2 linked regions of the Rattus norvegicus genome follow. The protein of the gene in region 1 interacts with the protein of each later gene in a biochemical or structural test. Links are inferred from orthologs where the notes say so. Each region holds a gene or a part of one and is shown on either strand. Other genes may lie near its edges.

Region 1 (4,327 bases):
ATGGCAGCACAGGAAAAGGGAGCCTAGGAGACCTGTCCTGGAGATCTCAGCACTAGGAATGAGAGGAGTCTTGGCAATTTCCTATGGAGGCAGATGCCCAGGCAGAAAGGGCTGAGGCTAAGCAGAGCAGGAGAACCTTCTGCCACCCTCCCTAGCACATGGGCTCCCAAATATGCTGCAGAGTCAGGGGCTCCAGGAGATCTAGACTTCAAGCTGGGCAGGGTTTGGTGTGGAGTTATCCAAGCTCCCTGTAACACCTCTCTTTCTGTCACTGGGCAACCAGAAGCTAGGGCTAGCTCCTTAGCTCAGGCCTTCTGTATCCAAGGCTGAAAACAGTCCTTCCCAGTAAGGGGGGCCCTGAATTGCTTCCCCCAACTCAGACAAGACAGCTTTGTTCTGGGGGCATTTGGCTCCGAAGCCCGGTGTTCAGCTTAGGGCCTACAAACTGCACCCTGAAGTCTCCATCCCCAACAATCCGCTCAGCTCTCTGCTTTGCTGTTTCGCTCCTTTAGCAAGAATAAAACTGTCAGTTGGTTGGCTTCCCCGACTCCATCCCAAATCAGCCTTTCCCCTGGTCCACCATCCTCTCCATCCACAACTCCTCTTCCCGCTGGCCGGCTGTAACTCCCCTACCTTCGACTAGGCAGAACTCCAGAGGCTGGAAGCAGAGTCCTGGTCCTGGAGATTACTTTCAGGACTTCTCAGAAAAAAAGTGTTCGGCCAGGGGAGACTGGACCCCCCCTTCCTCCCCCCTCTTCGTTGGTCCCTCCTACGTCCTCTAGAGCCCTCCCACATTCCGCTTTCTCCCTCCATTCGGGCCAGGCCAGTTCCCTCCTCTAGATCTTCCCCTCCCCTGTGGAGCTGGCTGCAGCCACGCCACCCCCTCCCACTCCTCCGGGCTCAATGAAGCTTTCTTTTCCCGCAGGTTGGGAGGCCAGGCAGCGGCGTTCAGGATGCTGGACTTGCAAATGGTTTCGGGACAGCAGGATGGCCCCTGTGGCCGCAGGAAGCTTTTCAGCCCGTAGCCGTTTCTCCACATCTCCAGCTAGACAGAGTATCAACAGACCAGTCCAATTCCAGAGCTGGACCATGGGAACAAGGTCCCACAAAGAAAACTAATGTCCTGAGGGCCCTCTTGGTCATTATGGCGACCCCAAAGTCCCTGCAGGTGATGTCACGGCCTTCACTCTGATGTCACGTTAAATATATGTCGTCACTCCCAGCTTCCACCCCCAGGCACTAGGGCCTTTAGTTGGTGACCGCGACTTCCCTGAGTAGTGCCACTGTGCGTGCGGTGAGATAAAGGCTCCCCTTGGGTTCTTCCTGACGGCTCGTTTTCCTTCGACCCCTCCGTCCCCGCCCCCCCTCCCCGCATCACCGCCGCAGGGGCCCGGGAGGGGCGGACACGCCTCCGGCACCCTGCAGCCCCGCCCAGCCCCGCCCCCAGGGCCAGGAAGCGCGGAAGGAATCGCCTTGGCCATGGACGGGGCTTTGATGGAGGGTCCGCTTTTTCTGCAGAGTCAGCGCTTCGGGACCAAGGTAGTTTGTTTGTGTCGTGGGGGGATGGCAAAACTCCCCTGGACTAGAAATGGGTGAAAGAATCCAGAAAGAGGGAATGGGCCGGAAGAAGGTCGGAACGGCGCGCGAGCAATCGTAGAGCCCCTAAGACGTTCGTTCCCTTGAAAGTCTCGGGCTGTGCCCTCCTTGGTGCGGATTTGGGATGGCATTATCTTTGGGAAAGTAGCCCAGCCTGGGAATCCCCAGACTCAGATCGGCCTGCGTGGGTCTCTTCTCCCTTGTAGGGCGCATGCTGCCGCTCACTCTCGAGTCTTTCGTTCTTTCCCAGAGGTGGAAGAAAACTTGGGCTGTGCTTTACCCAGCCAGCCCTCACGGCGTGGCGCGGCTGGAATTCTTTGATCACAAGGGGTCGAGCTCTGGAGGGGGTCGAGGCGGCTCTCGCCGTCTAGACTGCAAGATGATACGCCTGGCTGAATGTGTGAGCGTGGTGCCTGTGACTGTGGAGAGTCCCCCTGAGCCCGGCGCCTCTGCCTTCCGCCTGGACACCGCACAACGCTCGCACCTGCTTGCAGCGGACGCCGCATCCAGCACTGCCTGGGTGCAGATTTTATGCAGAACCGCTTTTCCGGTGAGTGTCTGGGGGTGGTCACCCCTGGGCCTAAGGGGCACTGCGAGGATGAAACTACTATAACGGCATTGGACTTCTTGCACCTACCCTAGACCCAAGAGAATTATGTATATGGTCCTCGATGTTCTCTTTTCTGCAGAAAGGCGGCTGGGCTTTGGCTCAGACGGAGAACCCACCTAAGTTTTCTGCCCTGGAGATGCTGGAGAATTCGCTGTACAGCCCCACCTGGGAAGGTATTAGTCTGGCAGAAATGGAGTGGGGTGAAGAGGTGCCCTTGGGGAGATAGTGATTGGAGTCTACCAAGTCCCCAACCTGCCCCGGCGCTCCTTCTCTTCCTGTGTTCTTCCAGGATCCCAATTCTGGGTAACCTCGCAGAAGACCGAGGCTTCTGAACGCTGCGGCTTGCAAGGCTCCTACGTACTGAGGGTAGAAGCTGAGAAGCTGACCCTTCTGACTTTGGGTGCACAGAGTCAAATCCTGGAGCCGCTCCTTTTCTGGCCCTACACTCTGTTGCGACGCTATGGCCGAGACAAGGTGCATGGGGCTGTCTGGGAGGATGACCATCGGGGAGGGCTACTGGGTTGGGTAGCTGTAGGTGACAACTCCATTCCCAGGTAGTCTCTTCTGTGCAGATATACTAAATTGGTCAGACCTGTGACTCATTTCTTTAGACACTCCTAACCTGTTTCCCTCCACACCCTCAGGTAATGTTCTCCTTTGAAGCGGGTCGCCGCTGCCCCTCTGGCCCTGGGACCTTCACCTTCCAGACTGCCCAGGGAAATGACATCTTTCAGGCAGTTGAGGCTGCTATCCAGCAGCAGAAAGCCCAAGGAAAGGTGGGACAGGGACAAGATATCACCAGAACTGACTCCCATGATGGGGAGACAGAGGGGAAGATGGCTCCCACTCCTGTTCCCCAGGAACCCCTGGGCAGCCCTCCAGCCCTATATGCAGAGCCTTTAGACTCCCTGCGAATTCCTCCAGGCCCTTCTCAGGACTCTTTGTATTCAGACCCCCTGGGCAGCACCCCTGCTGGGGCAGGGGAAGGGGTGCAGCGGAAGAAACCTCTCTATTGGGATTTGTATGGGCACGTGCAGCAGCAGTTGCTGAAAACCAAGCTGATAGACTCCAAAGAGGACCCCATCTATGATGAGCCTGAGGGCCTGGCCCCTGCCCCTCTCCGGGGCCTTTATGATCTGCCTCAGGAGCCTAAGGATGCATGGTGGTGCCAGGCTCGGCTGAAGGAAGAGGGCTATGAGCTCCCTTACAACCCCGCCACCGACGACTACGCTGTGCCACCCCCTCGGAGCTCAAAGCCTACCCCTGCCCCCAAGCCACAGGGCTTGATCCTTCCTGAATCTGGTACCACAGCTGGCAGTGGCAGCAAAGGCTCAGATACAGCTCTGTACAGCCAGGTCCAGAAAAGTGGGACCCCAGGGAGATGGGACTGTGGACTCTCTAGAGTAGGGAATGACAGGGTGGGGGTCAAGTCAGAGGGTTCCACCTGAGACAGTTGCTGATAGGAGGTCCATGGGGTGGTGGCACTGAAGATCAGAGAAACCTGAGGGTGGGAGGGGCCGGGGGACCAGAGGAGTCAAGTGATGACCAGTCCCCGGAAGTTGTGGGAGTAGAAGAAACAAGGCTGCTGGACTGACTAGGCCTGTGGGAGAGGTCCACTGGTCAGAGTGAGGACACTTTGGGGAGGCCAGTATGGATCCTCACTCTTGTTCTTTGCCAGATACGTTTTAATTTATAAGGCAAATCTCATTAAAGGTGGCTTGATTGAAAAGGTCTCTGCGCATGAATAGACACTGGGGCAGGCATGCGCTGGGAGGGTGGGGAGGGGTCAAGGGAGGAAGCAGAAATATGTTGGGGACCGTGGAAGGATGAAGGGCCCCAGGGAGGGAAGCCTACAGTGTGGTGATTCACAGCCTGGGTGGTCATAGCCTCTCCTGGGCCGGTCTCTGACTCATTGACCCTGTTGTCTGTTACCTGCCATTCTTAACTCTCCTCTGCTGCCCTTACACCAAGTGTGAGAATTTGGCTGTGCTACAGAAAGGCAGCTGGCACGAGATAAGACACACTTCCCCAGCTCTTAGTGTAATCTAAAGCATAGAAGGCACTTTACCAATGGCAGCCATTTTTCTGTAGTTCGAGGGAGCTATAGAAGGTAGGCAGGCG
Region 2 (3,646 bases), on another chromosome or scaffold:
CTACGACAGCCTAGCCTCAGACCTTAAGCTTAGCTGCCCGAGTGTAATATGGTGGCTCATGCTGGTAATTCCAGCACTCAGTAGGCTGAGGAAAGAGGAAGGAATTTGGTGCTGGTCTAGGCTACAGGGTCTAAAATCAATCAATCAATCAATCAATCAATCAATCAATCCAGAGAAATGGAAATAGTTTACAGTTTGTTTTCACAAGCCAGGATTAAAGGAGAGAGAGAGAGAGAGAGAGAGAGAGAGAGAGAGAGAGAGAGAGAGAGAGAAAGGGAAAGAAAGGGAAAGGAAAGGAAAGGAAAGGAAAGAAAGGAAAGGAAAGGAAAGGAAAGGAAAGGAAAGGAAAGGAAAGGAAGGGCTGGAGAGATGGCTCAGAGGTTAAGAGCTCCAACTGTTCTTCCAGAGGTCCTGAGTTCAAATCCCAGCACCCACATGATGGTTTACAACCATCTGTAATGGGATCTGATGCCCTCTTCTGCTGTGTCTGAAGACAGCGACAGTGTACTCATACATAAAATAAGTAAATAAATCTTAAAAAAAAAAGAAAGGAAAAGAAAGGAAGAAAGGAAAGAAGAAAGAAGCCAGGCAGTGGTGGAACAAAACTTTAGTCTCAGCACTCAGGAGGCAGAGGCCAGCCTGGTCTACAGAGCAAGTTCCAGGTCAGCCAGGGCTACAGAGAGAAACCCTGTCTTGAAAAACTGAAGGAAAAAAAAGGTTTGTATTTGCAACTCAGTCCTCTGAGTAGGCAAACTTGTTGGTGCCCAAGGAAGGACGGGACACATAAGAGAGAAGATCTCCGGCTGGAGAGATGGCTTAGTGGTTAAGAGCACTGACTGCCCTTCCAGAGGTCCTGAGTTCAAATCCCAGCAACCACATGGTGGCTCACAGCCATCTGTAATGAGATCTGATGCCCTCTTCTGGTGTGTCTGAAGACAGTGTGCTTATATATAATAAATAATTAATTTAAAAAAGAGAGAGAGAGATCTCTGTGGAACCTTTATGGTCTTCCCAGGAGGTGGCCTCCAGCCAGGCCTTTAAGGACAGGACCAGTTCTGACAGGTGAAAACTGAGGTAAGGTTCTGAGCCAAAACTGTGGACATGAACCCATTCCTGCCATGGTCCTCATCCTGGGCCTACCCAGTCAAGACGAGAACACTAGGCAATGACGTTGCCTGACTGCCATGCTTGGGTTTTACTCCAGGACGGACAACAGTTGCTTAACCCCCACAGCAGGCCTCCGTCTAGTCAGGACCATACTGCCTCCTGCTCAGCTTTAGAATCACTGTCTTCTGCTTGCTTGCTGTCACTGCTTGGGCAATGACCCAAGCTGTCCAAGAGACCTCGCCTTCAGCCTTGTCCCTGACGTCCAGGTAGCACACAACAGCCAGAGAGTCTCCTCCCAGTTCTGCTCAACTTCTGCAACCGACTGCTTAGAGCAGCAGTTCTCAAGCCGTGGGACATGAGCCCTCTGGGGGTGCTGGAGGACCCTTTCACAAGGGTCACATATCAGATATCCTGCATATCATGTATTTGCGTTACAGTTCGTAATGGTAGCAAAATCACCGTTGTGAAGTAACAATGAAATAATTTTATGGTTGGGGGGGTCACCATGAGGAACTGTGTTAAAAGGTGGCAGCATCAGGAAAAGTTGAGAATTGCTGGCTTAGAACCTAGGATGATGACTGCCTAGGAAGTACAATAGCATCAACATGGTGGCTCAGCAGGTAAAGGTGCCAGCCAGCAAGCGTGACCACTCAGGTTTGGTCTCTGGGACCTATGTGGTGGAAGGAAAGGACTTACTTCTCTAAGCTATTCTCTGATTTCCACACATGGCGTGCACACACACGCGTGCACACACACGCGTGCACACACACACACAATCGCACACACACAATGAGAGAGAGAGAGACAGAGACAGACAGAGACAGAGAGAACAGCAAAGGCCCCACAAAGTCTCCATGGACCGAAACCAGCAAGATTTTGCTCAGCGGGGAAAGGTGACTGCTGGTCACCCCAATGACCTGAACTTCCACAGCTTGTCCTCTGACACCCACGAGCCCCTCCCCCATAATAAATAAAATGTAAATTTTTTCGAAAGTTCCCACAGGCTTAGGGCTGCAAGCATTAGGAGGTATTGCTATGTCAGGCCTCGGTGTCCTCAGAATCCACTCAGCGCAGGACCCTAGCCTGGGGACACGCATTCTTGGCCTAGCTGCTACTTCTTCAGGAGATCTTTTGTTCTCTAGGCCTCAGTGTCCCCTTCGTGACCTCCTGGTCACACTGAGCAGCTCACCCATGTAGTGCCGCACCAGGTCCTGCACGGATTCGAACTGGGCCCGCGTGGTGATGTAGTAGCCACCCATGTCCAGCTTTCGGATCTTGTAATGCTTTATGTGGTCGCCTCTGTTCTGGTCCCAGTCACGGATGGACAGGGAGTAGGCACCTGGGTGGAAAGGGTCCGTTTAGTCCTCTTCCCCCTCAGACTTAGAGCAGGAAGAGGCCCCAAAGGCAGTTCCCAGAGTCCATCTTAGTTAGGTCCGCCTCTCCCGCTGTCCCAATGGCTGGTACCAACCCACCTTTGGTGGTCTCGCTTTCCCGAATGAGAAAGGCCCCTTGAGGGTTGCCATCGGAGAGAAGCTGCCTCTCTGCATCCTTTCTGCTGATCTTTCCGAAGTACCACCTGTTGGGAAGAGCAGGCAGAATCAGGCGCATCCTCTCTAAACAACAGTCCACCTTCCCATCTTCCCCGGGAAGTCACCGCACAAGCCGAGCCTCAGTTTCTCCATCTGACAAATGGACTGTTATAATCTGCTTCATGACTTGAGTATAGGATCCCAGAGAAGGGGAATGGAAAAGGGTCTGGCACACATGGTGGATACCTAAGATTCTCTTTTCTACTGGTGTCTCTTGAATTAAAATTGTTAGACTCGGGGCTGGGGATTTAGCTCAGTGGTAGAGCGCTTACCTAGGAAGCGCAAAGCCCTGGGTTCAGTCCCCAGCTCCGAAAAAAAAGAACCAAAAAAAAAAAAAAAAAATTGTTAGACTCTTCCTGGTGTGGTGGTATAATCCCAACAATCGGAGGCAGAGGCAGGTGCCCCTCTGAGTTTAAGGCTACCCTGGCCTACACAGCAAGTTCTAGGCCAGCCAGGGCTACATAATGAGACACTCCCTTAAAAACAAAAAGGGAGAGGACAGAGCATGGTGGTTCAGGCCTTTAACCCTTGCACTCAGGAGGCAGAGGCAGGTGAATCTCTGTGAGTTCAAGGCTAGCCTGGTCTACAGAATGAGTTCTAAGACAGCCAGAGAAACCCTTCTGTCTCTGAAAAACAAAAACAAAACAAAACAAAACAAAACAACAACAAAAAAAGCGAGCCTGGGGTTGGGGATTTAGCTCAGTGGTAGAGCGCTTGCCTAGCAAACGCAAGGCCCTAGGTTCGGTCCCCAGCTCCGAGAAAAAAATAAAAAAAAGCGAGCCTTAGAAGTCCAGACCCTTGGGCTGGAGAGATGGCTCAGCGGTTAAGAGCACCCGACTGCTCTTCCAGAGGTCATGAGTTCAATTCCCAGCAACCACATGGTGGCTCACAACCATCTGTAAAAGAGATCCGATGCCCTCTTCTAGTGTATCTGAAGACAGCTACAGTGT

What was found.
Region 2: the proteins of Dok1 (region 1) and Fgr form a complex in vitro, tested with the Homo sapiens proteins (2 studies listed by BioGRID, with this or other methods). The link is inferred for Rattus norvegicus from reciprocal best matches to the Homo sapiens genes DOK1 and FGR.

The regions. Positions count from the first base shown.
Region 1 is NC_086022.1:117,094,779-117,099,105, reverse strand, and holds Dok1 (docking protein 1), read left to right. Parts: upstream 1-1,471; 5' UTR 1,472-1,479; coding exon 1,480-1,539; intron 1,540-1,558; exon of another isoform or gene 1,559-1,707; intron 1,708-1,802; exon of another isoform or gene 1,803-1,807; coding exon of another isoform or gene 1,808-1,846; coding exon 1,847-2,146; intron 2,147-2,285; coding exon 2,286-2,379; intron 2,380-2,495; coding exon 2,496-2,680; intron 2,681-2,850; coding exon 2,851-3,654; 3' UTR 3,655-3,935; downstream 3,936-4,327. UniProt on the Homo sapiens protein: DOK proteins are enzymatically inert adaptor or scaffolding proteins. They provide a docking platform for the assembly of multimolecular signaling complexes. DOK1 appears to be a negative regulator of the insulin signaling pathway.
Region 2 is NC_086023.1:150,494,294-150,497,939, reverse strand, and holds part of Fgr (tyrosine-protein kinase Fgr), read right to left. Parts: intron 2,684-3,646; coding exon 2,580-2,683; intron 2,447-2,579; coding exon 2,297-2,446; intron 1-2,296. UniProt on the Homo sapiens protein: Non-receptor tyrosine-protein kinase that transmits signals from cell surface receptors devoid of kinase activity and contributes to the regulation of immune responses, including neutrophil, monocyte, macrophage and mast cell functions, cytoskeleton remodeling in response to extracellular stimuli, phagocytosis, cell adhesion and migration.